Tamandua tetradactyla: one gene and its partner. The protein of the gene in region 2 interacts with the protein of the main gene of each other region in a pairwise test. Links are inferred from orthologs where the notes say so. Each region holds a gene or a part of one and is shown on either strand. Other genes may lie near its edges.

Region 1 (8,325 bases), on a different chromosome or scaffold from region 2:
TCCCACATGCAGGTGAGAATTCTACCACTGAACTACCCTTGTACCCCTTATGTTAAGCTTTTTTATATATATATATATTTTTTTTTACACGGGCAGGCACCGAGAAGCGAACCCGGATCCTCTGGCACAGCAGGCAAGCATTCTTGCCTGCTGAGCCACCGTGGCCCTTATGTTAAGCTTTTAAAATGCATTTACTCATTTAGTCTCTGAGGCAGGTGCCATCATCATCATCATTCATGTCTCACAGGTTAATAGACTGAGGTCTCATGAGTTAAGGAAACTACCCAGAGCCACATGGCTAGTTAGATGTCAGGGTTGGAACTCTAGACTCTCTATGAGCCATGCTCTTACCCTCCTTCTCCCCCACTTCCCAGATGAAAGGGGTTTATTCAATAGTTTGCCTCACCAGGCAGGAGATGTCTCGGGTCGTGTAGTGCCAATAGGGTTGTTCACAATCAGTTGTTTTCCGGGCACATGAAAGGATGGTACTTCCCTGCCCTCTTTGAAGCTATGAATATGGTATGATGTGCTTTGACCAAGGAAATGTGAGTAGAAGTAATGTGCTATTTCCAGGCAGAAAATTTAAGAGCTATTGACAATTTACCATGTTCCCCATTCCTGTCTCAGCAATGGTGGAAACATATGCTGAGATGAAGTCTCCTTTAACAAAGGTCTGTGAGTAATCCCAATGAGCAGGACCTTGTTAGAGATGCAGTATAAGGGAGAAATAATCCTTCTTAGATCATTACTATTTGGGAATTGTTTGTTACTGCAGCATAATCATGACCATCCTGACTGATATAGGCCCTGGGATGCTAACACACTGACTTTCCAGAGCCCAAAGGAACAGTACTCACCTGTTCACTCTCTGAAATCACTGAGGTCAGGCGTGACTCTTTGGATATACAGAACTGCTGGGCACTATACCAGGTCTTTGGGATGTGAGAAAAGTAATAAAAGTTCCCATTGAAGTACTTCCAGCCTTGAGAAACCATCTGTAAAATGTCATCTGAAGAACAAGGGTGAAAGGTGAATACTGGTGTTCCTGTTTTCTCTGGATGTTAGTTAGGCTGGGACACATGCGTGGGATCTCAGAAAGAGTGGTGAATGGGGCCAGGCTATGTGTGCCTCAAGTCCTTGTGTAAAGGTTTTGGGACACTCTCTCTGACCTTGAAAGTCTGCCTAAGACTGGTCAAGCCCCTAAGCTTAGAGAAGGAAGAGTAAGAGTGAATGGATCAAGATCTGCCTCTCTCATAAGAGAAAACAATTCTCCATTGGCCATCACAAAAGGCTGAGCCCTGGGCTCTAAGTAAGGGACATAATAAGAAATGGAGGGGCTTAGGGCATGCCAGAGAGTCTTCCTAATGCTTCTGTCTTCCATGCCTTAGTGTGAAAACACAGGCTGTCCTTTGGTCTCTTCTCCCCTAAACAGCCCCTAAGTCCTTCCCAACTCCAATGCTGAGCCCTCTCTACCTAACCTTCTAGTTTATGCTTGACCTGCTCCTCTGCCCTTTCCCTCCTAACCCACCAGCCCAAAAGCCTCACATCTAAGACAGGCGAGGCCCCATGGGCACTGGTCAGCTTGCAACGTTATTTTCTGAGGCACTTACTTTGCCGGTTGAGCATCTTGCTGAAATTGTCCAAACTGTTCTGAAGTTCCCGGACCTTTGCATTTAAGACAGTGGCTTTATCCAAATCTTTTTTTAACTCTGGGATTTGGGCATAAAAATCATTGGCTTTCTCCCAACTTCTCGTTAACCTCTGGATCTGTGCATTGGCTTTCTCCAGCCCAGTTTCCACCGTCAGGATCTGAGAACGCACATGATCCAAGTTGACATTCACCGCCTGGATCTGAGTGCTGGCCGCCTCCACACCATCGCTATTCCTCTTAATTTCAGGCCCAAGGCTGCTGATATTGTCCACACGGCCCTTCAGCAACCGGGCTTTGGTCTTTACATCTGATATTGTGCCCAAAAGCCAAGGATCTGAATTTGAGAAAGTCAAGAGGTGAGCGAAGAGGAACCCTAGGAGTTGGGGTGTTGTCGGGGTGAAAAAAGACAGGGAAGGGAAGGGACAGGCTCAAACTTCCCGAAGAACAAAGCCAGTCGAAGGTGCTGCCTCCCACTCTCCATTCATTCAGGATCTCTGGTGGGTATAAACAATACAAAGATGGCTAAAAACAGTCTCCCTGGTAGAGGAACTCACAGGCAAGCCAAAGCAAGTATTAGAACCCAGTTCCAAATTTCTTTGAGTCTTCAAGGCACATTTGGTAAAAGGACACCCTCAATCACCCACTGTTCACCTTCCCCACATCCCTCTGGGCTCCATCACTTGATTCGCAGCCCTCTTCTCTCAGCAGCCATCAGCAAATGGGCACCATACCTCCCACATCTGTCCACATGTCCCTCCTTGACCATGGGAAGGGCCAGGGTGCAGGTTCCTAACATGGAAATGGAATCTTCTCCAGAGAAGACTGAAAGGGAGAATAATAGAACCACTTCTCCCCTTCTCTTGCCTCACCTACTTTCCCACTCTCTTCAGGTCACAGACTTGGGTGCATTTAAAGAAGAATAAAAAGAAACCAAGAAGGTACAAAAGAAAGGCCTGTGGGAATGGCAATGTTAGAGACTTAGGAGGATAGGGCAAATCAGGGGTGGGGATGGGGGGGAAGCCTCTGCCCAGAAGCTTCAAGTCTGAGACCAAATGTGCCCTGAGATCACAAAGGAAGAAGACAGACCCTTCCCTCCCTCTGCCTTCTAGAGACCTGGCAGGAGGAAAAAACCTATGCCAGCAATAGAGGGCATGAGACTTAGTAAAGCCAGAAGAGGAAGAAAGCTAAGCCACACATCCAATGAGTGAGTAGAAAGACTAGCTTGATGTGATCTTTGCAAGGACAGGAGAATGAAGAGGCCATAAAGGGGTCTTGGAGATGGGACTCAAACCATGAAGATTTGTTAGCTCATCAGCCAGGTTTTCCATTCCAACTGGGACTGAATATGCACTTAGGACTCATCCCTTGTGGGGCCAGGAAACATTTCACTCACTGCCAAGAGCTATGACCTTCTGAATCTATGGAATACATAGCACAGAGAGAGTGACATGGGATGAAGAAGTAGATGACTATTTCCTGGGGACAAAAGAGCATAGCCTTGAGCACAAACATGCAAGCATTAAACCCAATCAGGAAATGATTGGGAAAATCTCCGAGGCATTGGAAGGAAAGAGCGGCTGCTCATCTTACTAGGTTGGATGGCTCTGTGGCTCTTTTACTAGATGCGGGAAGAGAAGAAATAAGGCAAATAAGAGAAGGTGTAGGCAGGAAAGAACCCTGGAGAGCAGGAAAGACAGGGTCTCGAACATGAGGAAGCTATGGGCCATGGAGGAGGACTGAGCCCAGAAGGTAAGACTGAGGACTTACAGAGAAAGGCCTGAAGCAGGACGGAGGTGGCCAGGACCAGTGCCAGGAAGATTAATGTAGCACAAATTGTGGTCGATTTCCTCAGAAGCAGAGGCTGATCAGTCTTGGAAGAAGAATCTGCCAGAAGAAGAAGCAAACATTTGTTGAAGGAACAGTCAACAGCCAGTACGGGTACAGCTCAGTGAGTAGGTTTCAAGCAGCCACTGGCACTTGCCTCTGGGCCAGAGGGAGATGTTCTGCTTGTCTACAATGAAGTGTGCATCTGGCACCTCTTCCTCTGCAGCCTTCATCCTGCTTTGCTCACCCCTGCAGCTTGCTGCACAGGGATGTCCGACCTCCCCAAGATCCTTTTATCTAGAGGAAATAGGAAGCAAGGCTGGCAGGAGATCCCCTACGTCATCCCAAAGTTCCCCATTTCTGACTTGGACACCTTGTCTGGCCTGGACTGCAATTCAGTCATCTTCTCAAAGATCTGAGCTTTCAGGAAAAGGAGGAGGTCCTGTCACATGGACACTTTAGCCATCTTGTCTCAAAGCTATCTTATTTCTCCTGTAAGATTTCCTTCATCTGTCCGTCCATCCATTCCATAAATATAAATTAAGTGCCTTCCAGGTACCAAGCACCGTACTAGACACTGGGTCACAAAGATGAGTAACTCACCATCCTTCTTTCAGACAGCTCACAAAGTGAAAGGAAAGACAGACCTGAGCAAGAAAATTACAACACAGAGTGGTGAGCATAACAATAGGTGAATACACCCAATTCAAGGGAAGCAGAGAAAAGAGTGATAGAAAGAGCTCCAGGTAGAAGGATTAGCACATTCAAAGGTATGAGGGCATAAAACAGTACCGCATGCTTGGCAAACTGTGAATAAATCTGTGCTGTTGGAGTATAAAGTATAAAACAGGCGAGGCATCTGGGAGCAGACCATGAAGATCCTTTTGGGTCATGCTAGGGTTCTCTCCTGGCTTGTGGGTGACGTGGAATTAATGTAGAGTCTCAGGCAAGGTAGAGTCTCAGGCAATGGAGTGCTTTAGAACATTCTCAATATGGCAAGGGGCATAGGTTGGGGTGGAGGGAACCTAGAAGCAGAGAGCCCAATAGGGAGATCACTGTAATAAAATATTCTACTTTCGGCTATTCAGGCATCTTAGCAGATACAGTATCCTTTTATAATATGCCACTTGGAGATTCAAAATGTGAATGTAAGATTTGGTTTATAAGCCACCTGCTTCCTGCAACTTGTAAACTTCTGAAACAATATTGGGAAGCTCAGTTACATCAGACCAGGAACTGTTCTTTCTCTCTCTTCCTATATAGAGAGCGCCATACATGGGAGATGCTCAAGGCTGAGAAGCTGAAATGGGACTCAATAAAGGATTAAATTTTCTCCTGGGTAGTTACTCCTGCTTTGAAGAAGCCTGCCAAATTTGAGAAACCTGGTACATAGCAGACAGTAAACAAACCTTTTTTTGAAGGAGGAAAAACAGAAGAAAAAGGAAAGGAAGAAAGGAGGGAGGGAGAGAGCGAAGGAACTTGGTCTAGGTAATCAGATGATGGATGGATGGATGGATGAATGGATGGATGGATGGATGGATAGATGGTTGGATGGATGGAAAATAAATGAATGAAAGTTTTGATGGCTGATTGTGACTCGATTCTGAAACCTACACAGTCTGTGGATTTTGTTCTACTCCTTCCCACAGCCTCCAGGAGTTCTCATTTATTCCCATAGCAAATGCATAAGGGGAAGTATAATTTAAACCTTATTGAGAAATGCCTAAAAGCTCTAACCACAGGACTACGAAGCTGGCCTGGCCTTGCTGAATCTGGGCCAGTAGAGCTGGATGACTGGGTGGTATCAGGGACTAAAATGAGCAAGACAAGGAAATAACTACTCAAAGTTGCAGAGGCTTCTACTGCCTTTGGTATTTGAGAGGATCCTATGTCCCTGCCCTGTCCAGCCCTGTCTGGCCAGCCCTATAGTATGTGAAAGCCCCTTGCTGCTCTCTCTCTGGGCTGAGTGGACCTCACCTGGAGCCGCTACTCTGACTGGATAAGGGAACCCAGAGAGGACCCCACACCACTTTCCAAACCTGATCACAAGGATGGAGATAGTCCCAGGGGCTGGTGTCCCACTCATCCTGTCTCATTCCTCCCCACCCATATTGTCTCAGTAGCTTCTAGGCCTCCTGTTTGTTCAAACCTTTCACACCAGCTAATACCGCAAACTGAGGGCCTCACTGTCTTTGCTTGTATCTAACCTTTATGACTACACGTTCTCTCTTCTCATCAGGTTGCTCATCTGGTTAGATGCAGAGCCTTGGTTAGAAGGGGTTAGGATGTTCTGCTTCTGGGCTGTCATGCTCAGTGCCCAGTGTAACCCTGAAGGCCTCAGCCCCCATTCCTGCTCTGGCCCCACATCCACAACCTGTCACAGACCAGACGTGGGAGCAAGAAGAACTCAAGTTACTGAAGACCCTGGTAGAAGAGGCCCTCCGAGTCTCCTCCTGTGGCATTTGAGGGAAAGAGGCTGCCTCATGACATGCCTTGGGAGTGTCTGGCACCTTCCTTCTCTGTCAAGAAGTTCACTTTTCCAAACCCCTGCTAGCCTGTAGCATGAGTTACTGGCAGAACTCCACATGTCCTGCCCAGGTCCCAGGAAAGGATTAGGAAGCCTCACCGGGCAGGGGCCCATTGTGTGAGGAGGGGTTGGGGCTGGGGAGCATTTACTCTCAGTGATGGAAATGGAAGCCTCAAGTGGACATCTGACTAATCACTCGGCCAAAGGTTGGTCATGCATGAGGAAGCCAAGCAAGAAGCAGCCTGATGCCTAGAGTGGGCTGTGGGCCTCTGGGCCATTCAGAGAAGGCAGGCATAAAATCCCAAACCAACCGGAGTTTCATTTCCTGCTTTGAAGGGAAGGAGTGAGTCACAAGCTATTATCCTACAGCCTCACCCATCTGCAGGTTGTTACTGAGCATCTCTTATGCATCCCACAGGTACTCCCTCTGCCCTTGGCCTGATGGCCTGAAAGGAGAAAAGACCAAGAGGGAAGCAGGGGCCTCAGTCACACTTTCCAGGTCTAGACAGCAGGCAGTTCTCCCGGACCCTCAGGAGATGCCCCACTCTTCCAAACAGAAGAGGAACTTTGGGCCAGACCTGGAATGGCCAAAAATCACCGCTGTAACAAGAAAAGGGAAGTCTGTGATTATTTTTTTCCATTTCCTCTCCCCCCTTGCTCCTCGGGTTCTGAGACCTTCTCTGGATAAAGGTGGAGGAAGGAGAGAGCTGGGCGACTTTTCCCCTTCTCTGATTGGGACCAGCCTTATGCTTGGAGGTAGGCAGAGGATGCAATCAATCAAGTTGTCATGGTGAGAGGAAAAGAGAGAACAGGGTTGTTTGGAATGACCCAGCAATGCTGAGAGTTATCACCAAGAAATAGTAATCCAAGTCCCTCCATTCAAGGCATGGAGGACACTGGAGTGGATAATGAAGTCAAGTAGGGACAGGGGAGGAGAAGAGAGAGAAAGCAAGGACTTGAGAGGTGAGGGGAGCATGGCTATGAAAGCAAGGGATTGAGAGGTGAGGGGAGAGAAGAGGTGGATCACAGCAGGTCAATAGGGTCCTCAGGCCTCAGAGTGGAGTCCATAGATAACGGAGCTCTGATGAGGGGCTTGGCCAGCAGACCCAAGATAATCAATGGATTCTGTGCTACCCTCTGGTACATGGCCTGGGAACCCCTCAGTGAAACCAAGAAGGAAGAAGTGGAAAGTGAGAGCGTTCATCTATTCCTTCCTCTGTGTTTGTAATGTGCTTACGATGGCCCAGGGACTGGTGGAACAGAAGGGAAGATAGTGGTAGACCTGCCCTCAGAAAAAGTATTCTCCTACAGAAAATATATGGCATCCTTAAGTTTGGAAGAAAGGAAAACTCTCCCAAGACTGAACAGGACTGAAGACGCTGTAGGATGCCTCCCCAGTCTCCCTTGTCCCTACAAACGGGTTCTACATTTTTAAGACGTCATATGGTAGCAGATTTCTCTGGGACAGTCACAAAAGGCCACACCTTGGTAAACAGGCTGTTGTGTCTGGGGCCATCAGGGATACTGTGATATAGACATGGGTGGGTGGTGGGGCCACACAGGCTGAACTATTCAAGTCAAAGAAGTCTTGGCTATGGCTTAGTGAAAAGAGCAAATTCATGTCAGGAAAGTAATGAGAGACTCTTGGGAAAAAATATGCATGGTTTCTTTTTAGATTTTTTATTCCTTTTTTATATAACCAATGGATAATATAAAAAATCCAGATAAGGGTAAAAAGAAACTGCCCCCATACAGAAAAAAAACAGCTCTACCCGTAGTCCACTCTTCCTACCTATATGCATATGTATATACATCTGCATCCATATCCATAAACTATACCTATATTGATGTCTAACCATAACTAGGTATATATTTGTATAAGTAGGGAATAGCTCCTGTTTTTTCCTCCCCAACATCTTTCCCTTATCCCCACCATTTTTAATACCAAGAATCCCCTTCCTTCAGAAAATTACCCCCCTTTTCAGCACATGGTTCAAATGGAGCTACTAATTCCAGTTCCTGCCATTACAGTGGGCATGCCACAGTGATAGGTCCTGGGGTTCGGGCCTCAAAATAAAATGAGCCTCCTGGGGAGCTTTCTTAAATTATTTCATTAGTGATTTTCACCCTTGGAGCTCCTGTTATTTAAATCTTGGTCCTCCTTGATTGAGTTTTCTCATCTTCTCTCTTATTTGCAATCTCCATGTCATCTTGCTCTATTTCTAAGAAATATCCTTATCTTTATCTAACAACTCTTCTATTTTTTCCACTTTTAATTCTATATTTTAATTTCCTAGACATTTTGGGTTCCCTGAATATTCAT
Region 2 (9,096 bases):
GAGAATTTGATCATTTCTGTCCCTTTTGAAGACATAGCTTTTTTTCATTTTTAACATGTCTAGATTAAGTGCAGGGCCAGGGTTTTTGGTATCATCCCTTTCTCTTTCTTGTTAACTCTGAAATTACATTTTCTAGGTGGGTGTTTGTTTCACTGTTTGTAGCAACAGCAATAACAAAGAACACTTATACTGATGATTCTTTACAAAATCTTCAGGCATTTAGAAGGTTATGAATTATCTCTCAAATAAAGACAAAGTGAGTTTTATACACTAATATATATCTATGTTGCTATTGATTACAGCTCTTCTAGTTTGCATTCATCCTGCAAGTTTTTAAAACAGAGAAAGCAGCGGGATTTGGGGCTGAGCTGAATTCGAAGCAAGGTGCTGAGATGGCTCTGTCTCTGATAGTTCAGTCTTGAGAATTGAGCGCATAGAATCAGCTGAAATGTCAGGTCATAAGTGGGCAATCTACAAATGAAGAAATGCGGATGGCCAAGGAACATATGAAAAATATTCTCCACTGGTAATAAAACAATGTAGAAGGCCCAACTGGAAGACAAATCGGGAAAGGGTTTTGAAAGATCACAATGTTTCTGGTGACAGAGGCTGGCTTCTTCACCTGCAGTGCTGGAAATGACTCCATAAGGGAGATACCACCCTCATTTTGCTGATGAGAAAGTTGAGGCTCAGAGAGGAGAAGTTAACCAATCTCATGTCTCACAGCTTTCGAGTGAAGAAGCCAAGACTCAAACACCATTGCATCGGCTGTAGGTACACACACCAACTTTTCTGTCTCTACACTGAGTACTTAACCCAGATGGGACAGCATCATTTTGAGAGTTCTGGTAGAACAGAATTTGAGATCTACCTCTGTCCTCTGTACCCGGGGGAACTGTGCGAGTTGTGGTTTGGCCATCAACCTGAGGCCAGCACAGAGGCTGTGGAGCCATTGGCAATTTCTCTTGAGATGAGATTTTTTTCCAGTTTCTTTCTTTTTTTTTTAATTTTTATTAATAAAACCAATCAACATACAATATGGACATTCTTTTTTTATCACATAGTTGTGTATTCATCATCATGATAGTTTATTAGAACATTTGCATCAATTCAGAAAAAGAAATAAAAAGAAAACAGAAAAAAATTCATGCATACCATACCCCTTACTTTTCAGTGTTTCTTGTAAGGTTTTCAGGGAGGAAGGGTGAAGAAAACATATTTATTGTGCAATTTCTATTTTGTAATTTCTATACACCTGGCACTTTACATATAGAGATATTTAATCCTCTTGATGCTGTGAAACAGGTACATTTTTCACCATTTTGGTGATAAGGCCACTGAAGATCAAGAAAAATTGTCTCCTTCCCTAGTCCACATACTCAGTTAAACAGCAGCAGAGCTGATGTTCTAATGCAGGCTTTAAAATCCAAAGCCTTGTTTCTATCTCCTGTAACAGTGTCTCCCCAAAATGGAAGGAAATCACAGGTTTCCCGGTGTCTTCAATGCATTGACATTTTATACTGTGTCTTTGCCTTCATAGTGTCGCTGTATGTACCCATTGTGATGCCTTCACCTATCTTTCTGGAGGCATTTGTTTATAGCCCCAGGACAGGGCTGAGCATAATAACCCTCCCAGAAAATTATCTTTCCTGTAAGGATGGGATTCTTTGAGGAATAGTCAAGCAATTGGTAGTTTGGAATTTCTAGAGGAATTTTTTTTTAATTAAGTACCTTTGTTTGTCACTTTACAAATGTCACTTTACATTTGAACTGTAAAACAAAACAAAGCCAAAATATAAACTTAACAAGGAACTCAAAGAAACCTAACCGAAAACCAAACCCATATTTCTTGATTAAAAGGAACTTAAAACCAAAACTTAGAGTTGACGCCACCAGTATGACAGGGCAGGTGTTTTGGGATCCCATGTTCCCTTTACTAAATTGGGAAAAGCTGAGCCTTCCTGAATAAATTGAGTCCTAGATTGCAACCATGCCTTCCAAGCATCTCCCAGTCTTACTCATGCTACCTCAGCTTGAATTCCTCTTTCTTCCACTTGAAAAAACCTCAAGCTCAGCCATTTCTTCTATGCAATAGATCTATAAACAAAATACAATTGTGTCCGAGGTTCCTGATATTAAGGGATGTGGGATCAGCTCAAGCGCCTGCTGATGAACAAGGGGCAACCAACAGGCAACCGAAAACTTTCTCCTTGTAGAGACAGCCTATTCTGGAGATGCTGAAGAGACCTTTTATATAGCAAGGAGGCAACACTCCCATCTCCACTGTTTTTTCCCAGGTCTGAGACCTGTCACTCACAATTCCAGGCCTTGATCCACTGGCTTTTCTTTCCTCTCCTGGAGCACACCCTTCCAGGGCATGAGCTGTGTTTGGAGCGCCTGCCGAATGCTTCTTTCCACAGGTAGGGCCCCGAATCTTTGGGCCTGCTGTTTTCCCCACATCTTCTGGGGGCCAGCTGATCTCTAAGAAACTCTGGGAAGTACCAGGAAGGAACTTTGAGTTCACTTTTGATCTGGCCAATGACAGCCCTTTCAGTTAAGTGACCTGGTCTTTTTTCTATCACCAGGGCTGCATCAGAGGTTTCTCTTTCAGTGTTTGCTCTGAAGGAAGAGATCAGCCACCACTGAAACGCATACGTGCGGGTCAGCAAATGAACACAGAAACATTCTCTTCTAGGTCATATTACCTGCCACCTCAAGAGCTTCCTTTTGTCCTGATGCTGGCTTGGGGTCCCTTTCACTGACCCTTACTCGCAACGACCTTTATCTACCTCCAACCCCGGTGTCTTTCCTCACTTTAGAAGGTGGTAAGTGTACACTAACTCAGCTTCCACTTGAATCCGCCCTAAGTGTTCCTCGGTGTATTCCTTTGAAGCAATGGCTGTACATTATACAAATCAAACACGCTCAACACGACTTTGATATTTACTAAGTGATAATATCAACGTCTTATCTGTCTTCTCCATGCTTTCAGTAGCCAGATTATAGTTTTCTTTTTACAGCATGCTTTGTGCTGGGTTCATCGTGATCCTTTCCTCATTGTGGGGATTCAATAACCACATAATGAACCCCTCCTGCTAGAAGATTAAAGTAACAAGAAAGTTTAACCCTTCCACTCTTCCTCCTTTTTAGTTGTCCCACCAGGTCACAAGCTCGCTCATTACTTAGAAGAATGCAGAATGACATTTAAGGGTTTTTAAACTGTATCAAATGTAACTTTAATTGGCTGAATGCAAATGATTAAATACAATTACATACTTAAGTCATTTTAATCTAAGACCATTGCAAGACATAACATACCTGAGATGATTTGCATGCATAAGAAACAGGAAATGAGTAGGGGGAGTCCATCTACTTGAGTTCAAGGCTAGGTAATAGAAGAAGAGATTTACATACATGAGATTATTAAGAATACCAGTAATTTTAATTCCTATTTCCCTTTTCCTATTCTTTTTATCAAAATTTGTCTCCAGATCCTGTGATCGATTGAAGGCATCAATGACCCCAATTAAATTAACAGCTTCTCTATCCGTCTTTTGTTTGATAACTTAGAAGTCCCTGCCCACTCTGAGTTGAGGTGGCCTGGGAACTTGCATATCTAGTAGAATATGACAGTGAGACAGTTCTGAGACTGGACCTCAAGGAGTCTTGTGTGTTTCTGCTTCCTCTTGGGCTGCTCTGAGGTCACCATGACAACCAGCCAGACTGAAGGCCATTGCACCTTTCCAGCTGTCATAATCTACCTGGTTCCCAATGGGCCCTCCGACCACAGACACCTGAGTGAGCCCAGCTGAAATCTAATTGGTTCAGACTAGCAGACCCACCTGCCAACGTGTGGCTAGATCCATGGCAAATGATAAATAGTTGTTGTTTTATACCCATAAGTTTTGAGATGATTTGTTACACAGTGATAGCTCACTGGTTTAGGTCCTATATTAATAGGGTAAAACGTGTTGCTCCCCCTCGGGGCAATAACATTTTACGAATTGTCAACTACTTAATTAAATGAATGTAACTTTGAGAAGGCCTTCAGATTCAGTAATCAGTCAGGGGGCCTTTAGGGAGCATAGTGGAATCTTCCGTGGATAGTAGTATGATCCTCGTGAAAGGCCTGGTGTCATAGAAATAAATAAAAATAGCTTTAGGGTAGGGTCTGTGACAAGTAGCTGACACCTATTAAAGATTTCAGAATCATAGTTGGCTGCCACAACCCCTCTCCAATCACTCCTTCTATCCTTCCATTTCCCTTTTTAGCCTTCCTCGCTCACAATTTACAGAAGCTATGTTGTAACAGTCCCCAGGCCTGACCTCAAGCAGCCTCATGTGTTTCTGTGTCTTCTCTGCAGTCACCATGTGACATGCCTCAATCACCACCCGCTCTTCTCAGTCTGTTGCTGGCAGTACTTCTCATCCTTTTATCGACTATTCTCCAGGTTTTTGCATTAAAACGGTAACGCATTGTCTGAGCAAGACAAATATGGCTTCCAATCCTGTCTCCCGTCTCACATGTAAGGTCTTTGGACGTGTTAATGGTCAGTGTTCATGTACTCTGCAGGATGGTGATAAGAAAGGGCACTCAGAAGTCTGTTCTCATTCTCTCTCCTGCTTAACTTTGACAGTTAAGGAAAGAAATTAGAGAAAAAATGATGCTTATTGCTTTTAAGAAAGTTAGTCCAAGGTTCTTTTGATCCCCCATAGAGATAGTTTCTGCTGACTTACAAACTTTGAGCTATGGGTCAAAGCTTTGGCAAATATTAACCCTCATTTTACTGTCCTTGATATTAGCAGTCAGAGAAATGAAAGTTCAGAAGTTTCAGATGATGTGGATGGATCCAAAGTCAGAGATATGATTGGAGGTGAAGCTTTAAATATACAGTAACAGTTTGATTATACAATTACTGCGTTTTAAAATAAATACAAATTTTAAAGTGACCTTCTATTCCAAATTAGGGATATAGAACACATCCATTCTTAGGTAACTCCTCACAAACCACATGGGTGCTATTGCAGACAAATAAAGGAACTTGCCAGCTTACTACAGACATTTCATTAACTTGAAAATCCACTAAAGACACCTCATAAATTCAGCTTTAGGAAAAGACCAGGAATATGTCACTGAAAGGGGAAAGCTAGTAGAAAAGTTGGGGGAACTCTGTTAGCCTACAAGCAGTATCATAATGAGGTGTGTTCTAGAATAAAGAGGCCCAGCTCAGTGTTTGAAAACTTTTGTTACTACTTGTGGGAGTTTGCTTAGGTCATCTAACTTCCCTTGTCCTCAGTTTGCTTGTGTATAAAACGTGGGCTTGGAGTAAATCAGTGTTTCCCAATATGATGATCTGTGGAACAGTTCTTTTGCAATTTTTCTGCAGAGTCCACTTTATCAAAGAAGAAAATAGGAAATACTTCACAGTCTTAGATATTTTATTCATTCCTCCTTTACTCCTTGCAATGACCACATGATGTGTTATTAGTCTCGCCTTACCCAGTATTGCGTTTTTGTTTTTTTTTCCCCCCAGCATTGCTTTTAACCACATCGTTATTTATAGTGACCACTGCAGCCTGTGAGAGAAGAGCAATACGGCACTGCTCTGGGGGCAGTGGGCTCAGTCCTCCACACCCTCTCCAGCTACCCCTGTTCCCCAGCTACCAGCCTTATGGTTTTAAATACTATTTATATCTGGATGAGTCCCAAATCTTATAATTCCTTCCTGACCTCTCCCACATTAAACAGCTCATGAGTTGGGACCGCACATCAAGGAACTGAGAAAGCCTTCTTGACCAAAGGGGGAAGAGAGAAGTGAGACAAAATAAAGTGTGAGTGGCTGAGAAATTTCAGAGTCGAGAGCTTATCCTGGAGGTTATTCTTAAGCACTGTACAGATATCCCTTTTTAGTTTATAGTGTATTGGAGTGGCTAGAAGGAAGTGCCTGAAACTGCTGAGCTGTGTTCCAGTAGCTTTGATTCTTGAAGATGATTGTATAACAATATAGTTTTCATAATGTGACTGTGATTGTGAAAACCTTGTGTCTGATGCTCCTTTTATCCAGAGTTTGGACAGATGAATTAAAAAAATCAAGTAATGGGGAATAAAGGGTAAAAAATTGGGTAGATGGAAGTACTAATGGTCAATGAGAGGGAAAGTAAGGTATGAGATGTATGAGTTTTTTCTTTTTATTTCTTTTTCTGGAGAGATGCAAATGTTCTAAAATGGTCATGAGGAAGAATTCACAACCATATGATGATATTGTGAGCCACTGTTTCTACACATGTGTGTATGCTTCTCAATAAAAATATTTTTTAAAAAACAAAACATCCCAAAGCTTACTATGACCAAACCAGAATTTTGATTCACAGTTCTCCTCCAAATTTTTCTTGTTTTATGCTTTTCAGTAAATACCTTCCTCATCCATCTGGTTGCTCAAACAACAATTTAGTTAGGAATTGTTGATTTCTCTCATCTCCTCAGTCCCTGAATTCAGCCCACCAACATGCCTTGTCATCTCTACTTTCAGAATGCATCTGGAACTGACGGCTTCACTTTATTTGCATTTTTATCCAAGCTGCCATCAACTCTTATCTAGACAACTGCAGTAGCCTCCCAAGTGGTCCTCTAGCATCTATTCATACTCTCCCCTCCCCTTACAAAGAGGAGCCAGAATGGTCTTTGAAAATAAAGTTAGACCATGTTATTCGTTTTAAAACTTTCCAGTGGTTTCTCATTTCACTTAAAATCTAAACTGTGCTCTGTGGCCATGCTTGGCCCTTCGCCCACACCCGCATCTCATCTGGATCCTGCTTCCCTACACTGTTTTTGTTCCTCATTTACACCTACTAGCTCTTCCCTCTCCCTGGACAGCTCGGCCTCCAACTCTTCTGGCCATCACTCACTCTCCGTTCAAATGTTACCTCCTCAGAGACGCCTTCCCTGACCACCCCATCAAAGACTATCCTATCTTGTGCAGAAACTGTCACCTTATTTTTTTTTTTGTAACCAAAGTAAAATGATGTGGCTTTATTAAGTATTAGACAGGTCAGGCATCAGAACAATGACTATTATGAGAAATAAAGATGCATAATAAATAGTTTTAAAGAGGTCAATTAATCAATAAGGCAAAAACTTGCCAATCGCATGTGACTCCAATAATGAGGCCTTAAGATGCATGAAAGAAAAAAACTGACAGTGCTACAAAAAGGAGAGCTATCCCAAATTATAACTAGAACTTCCAACATTTTCTCAAAATCATTAGAAAATTAGATGAAAATAAATACTAATGTGTAAGGCTTGAACAATATTTTCCACAAATTTGGCCTCACTGGCCTTGTGGCAATAAATGATGAACACCCAAAGTGTAACAATCACTGGCTATTTATTCAGGCTTTGCCACATGTAATCAGCCAACAGCATTTGTATTTGGCATGTGTTTCTTCTGTCTCTTGGTTTAAATTAGAATTTTTATGCTGTCATTTATTATATCCATTAACTTAATACTCATTTGCTGTTTTATTAACATTTAAGTTGTTGCTATAGGATTTATAATAAGCATTTTTGAATAATCTCATTCTACCATTAAATATGCTCTATCATTACATGTGTCACATCATTTTACTTCTGAAAAACTGATCACTGGCTGTCATGATCTTGTTTTATCTTTTTTCTCTGCATTTCCCTCAACTAGAATGCAAGTCCATGAGCATATCCATCTTGTTTGTTCAATTCTGAATCCCCAGTGCCTTGCACATATAAGTTGCTCAATAGATATTTGTAGAATTAATAAAAGAATTACATTATTTGTCTCGCTCAGGTTTCCAGCCATTTGAATTAAATGCGTGTTTCAAAAGCACATATAAGACTATGTACAATGTCCTCAAGCAGATTTCAATCACATGTACTTATATTTTGGTATAAGAAATGTTTTCAAATGAGATTATCAACTGAATAGGATATATTTTTTTTATTGTGCAAAAATCTAACTGAGAAAGAAGCAAAGGATAAAGCCATTAAAGAAATTGTCAAATACTTCTGCACTGAGGCAGTGGGAACCAGGAAAGAATAAACCTATGATTCTGGTACATTCTTAAAGTCATGTTTTTTGGGCAGAGGCAGGGATCAAAACTACGGATTGTGAAATATGGCTCTCAGGAATTTGTACATAAGTCTTTCTCATTCAGTTCCTCATTACTGATGAGGTCACATACTTGCAGTGGATTTTCTTCTTCTGAACATTTTTTTGTTGACAAATTAAGATGGTAAGGAAAAGAGGAATGCTGAAATAGCTCATGGCTGTCACAACCAAAATAAATGTAAGGGGATGCTGCTAAACTGCTACAAGTGAAATATCTATTTCCTTTGCCTAAGACCTGGGGAGACATGGGGGTGAGAGAACGAAAGGGAAAGGAATTATGGTACCAGTAAGTGACATCTTTGAGATCCTGGCACCACCTAGCGGTGATATATCCTGTTTGAGAATTCAGCCATTTTCTTAAATGGTGGTCCGCAAACTTTCCTTAGTGTGCCTCAGAATCTCCCAGTGAGTTTATAAAACTACCCCACTCTCATAAACGATTCTACAGGCTTGGTGTGCACTTCAGATTTTTTAAAAACAAGTTTCCCAGGTGAATCTACTTAGCTGATGGTTTAAAAACTCGTAGTGATTTACTAGTTCTTGTCATCTGTATTTTCCCCCTCCTCCCCCTTTCCTTCCCTTTCTCCTTTGCTAACATGTTTGAATAGGATATTTTACATTAGAAAATTAAATTGTAAGCAATATTATTTTGAAAATTCCTGAGGATTTTGTGACATATTCAAATCAAAACAGAAGAGAAAGTGTGGAGGGGCAGTAAAAGGGGGAAGTGGCCCCAAACCAATGCTGCAAATCACTGCTCTAATCATCCAGTATCCAACTAAAAGTGGCAGATGTCTTTGTGACCGAATTTCAAGAACCTTCTTTCAATTGTCCGTCATCTCCTATTCTATTGACAGTAACAATTTAAACAAACTTTACAATTTTTCATTTTGAACATACAAACATGTCATTTTAAACTGACAAAAAAGTTACAAAATAGCACAAAGAATTCTCA

What was found.
Region 1: the proteins of GRAMD2B (region 2) and CD207 interact in binary tests that used the Homo sapiens proteins (3 or more experiments, as listed by UniProt). The two-hybrid records come from large-scale screens. The link is inferred for Tamandua tetradactyla from reciprocal best matches to the Homo sapiens genes GRAMD2B and CD207.

The regions. Positions count from the first base shown.
Region 1 is NC_135343.1:44,355,804-44,364,128, forward strand, and holds the start of CD207 (C-type lectin domain family 4 member K), read right to left. Parts: upstream 3,746-8,325; 5' UTR 3,709-3,745; coding exon 3,633-3,708; intron 3,536-3,632; coding exon 3,419-3,535; intron 1,986-3,418; coding exon 1,611-1,985; intron 1,010-1,610; coding exon 858-1,009; intron 1-857. UniProt on the Homo sapiens protein: Calcium-dependent lectin displaying mannose-binding specificity. Induces the formation of Birbeck granules (BGs); is a potent regulator of membrane superimposition and zippering.
Region 2 is NC_135347.1:1,299,022-1,308,117, forward strand, and holds the start of GRAMD2B (GRAM domain-containing protein 2B), read right to left. Parts: upstream 3,673-9,096; 5' UTR 3,656-3,672; intron 3,386-3,655; 5' UTR 3,339-3,385; coding exon 3,319-3,338; intron 1-3,318.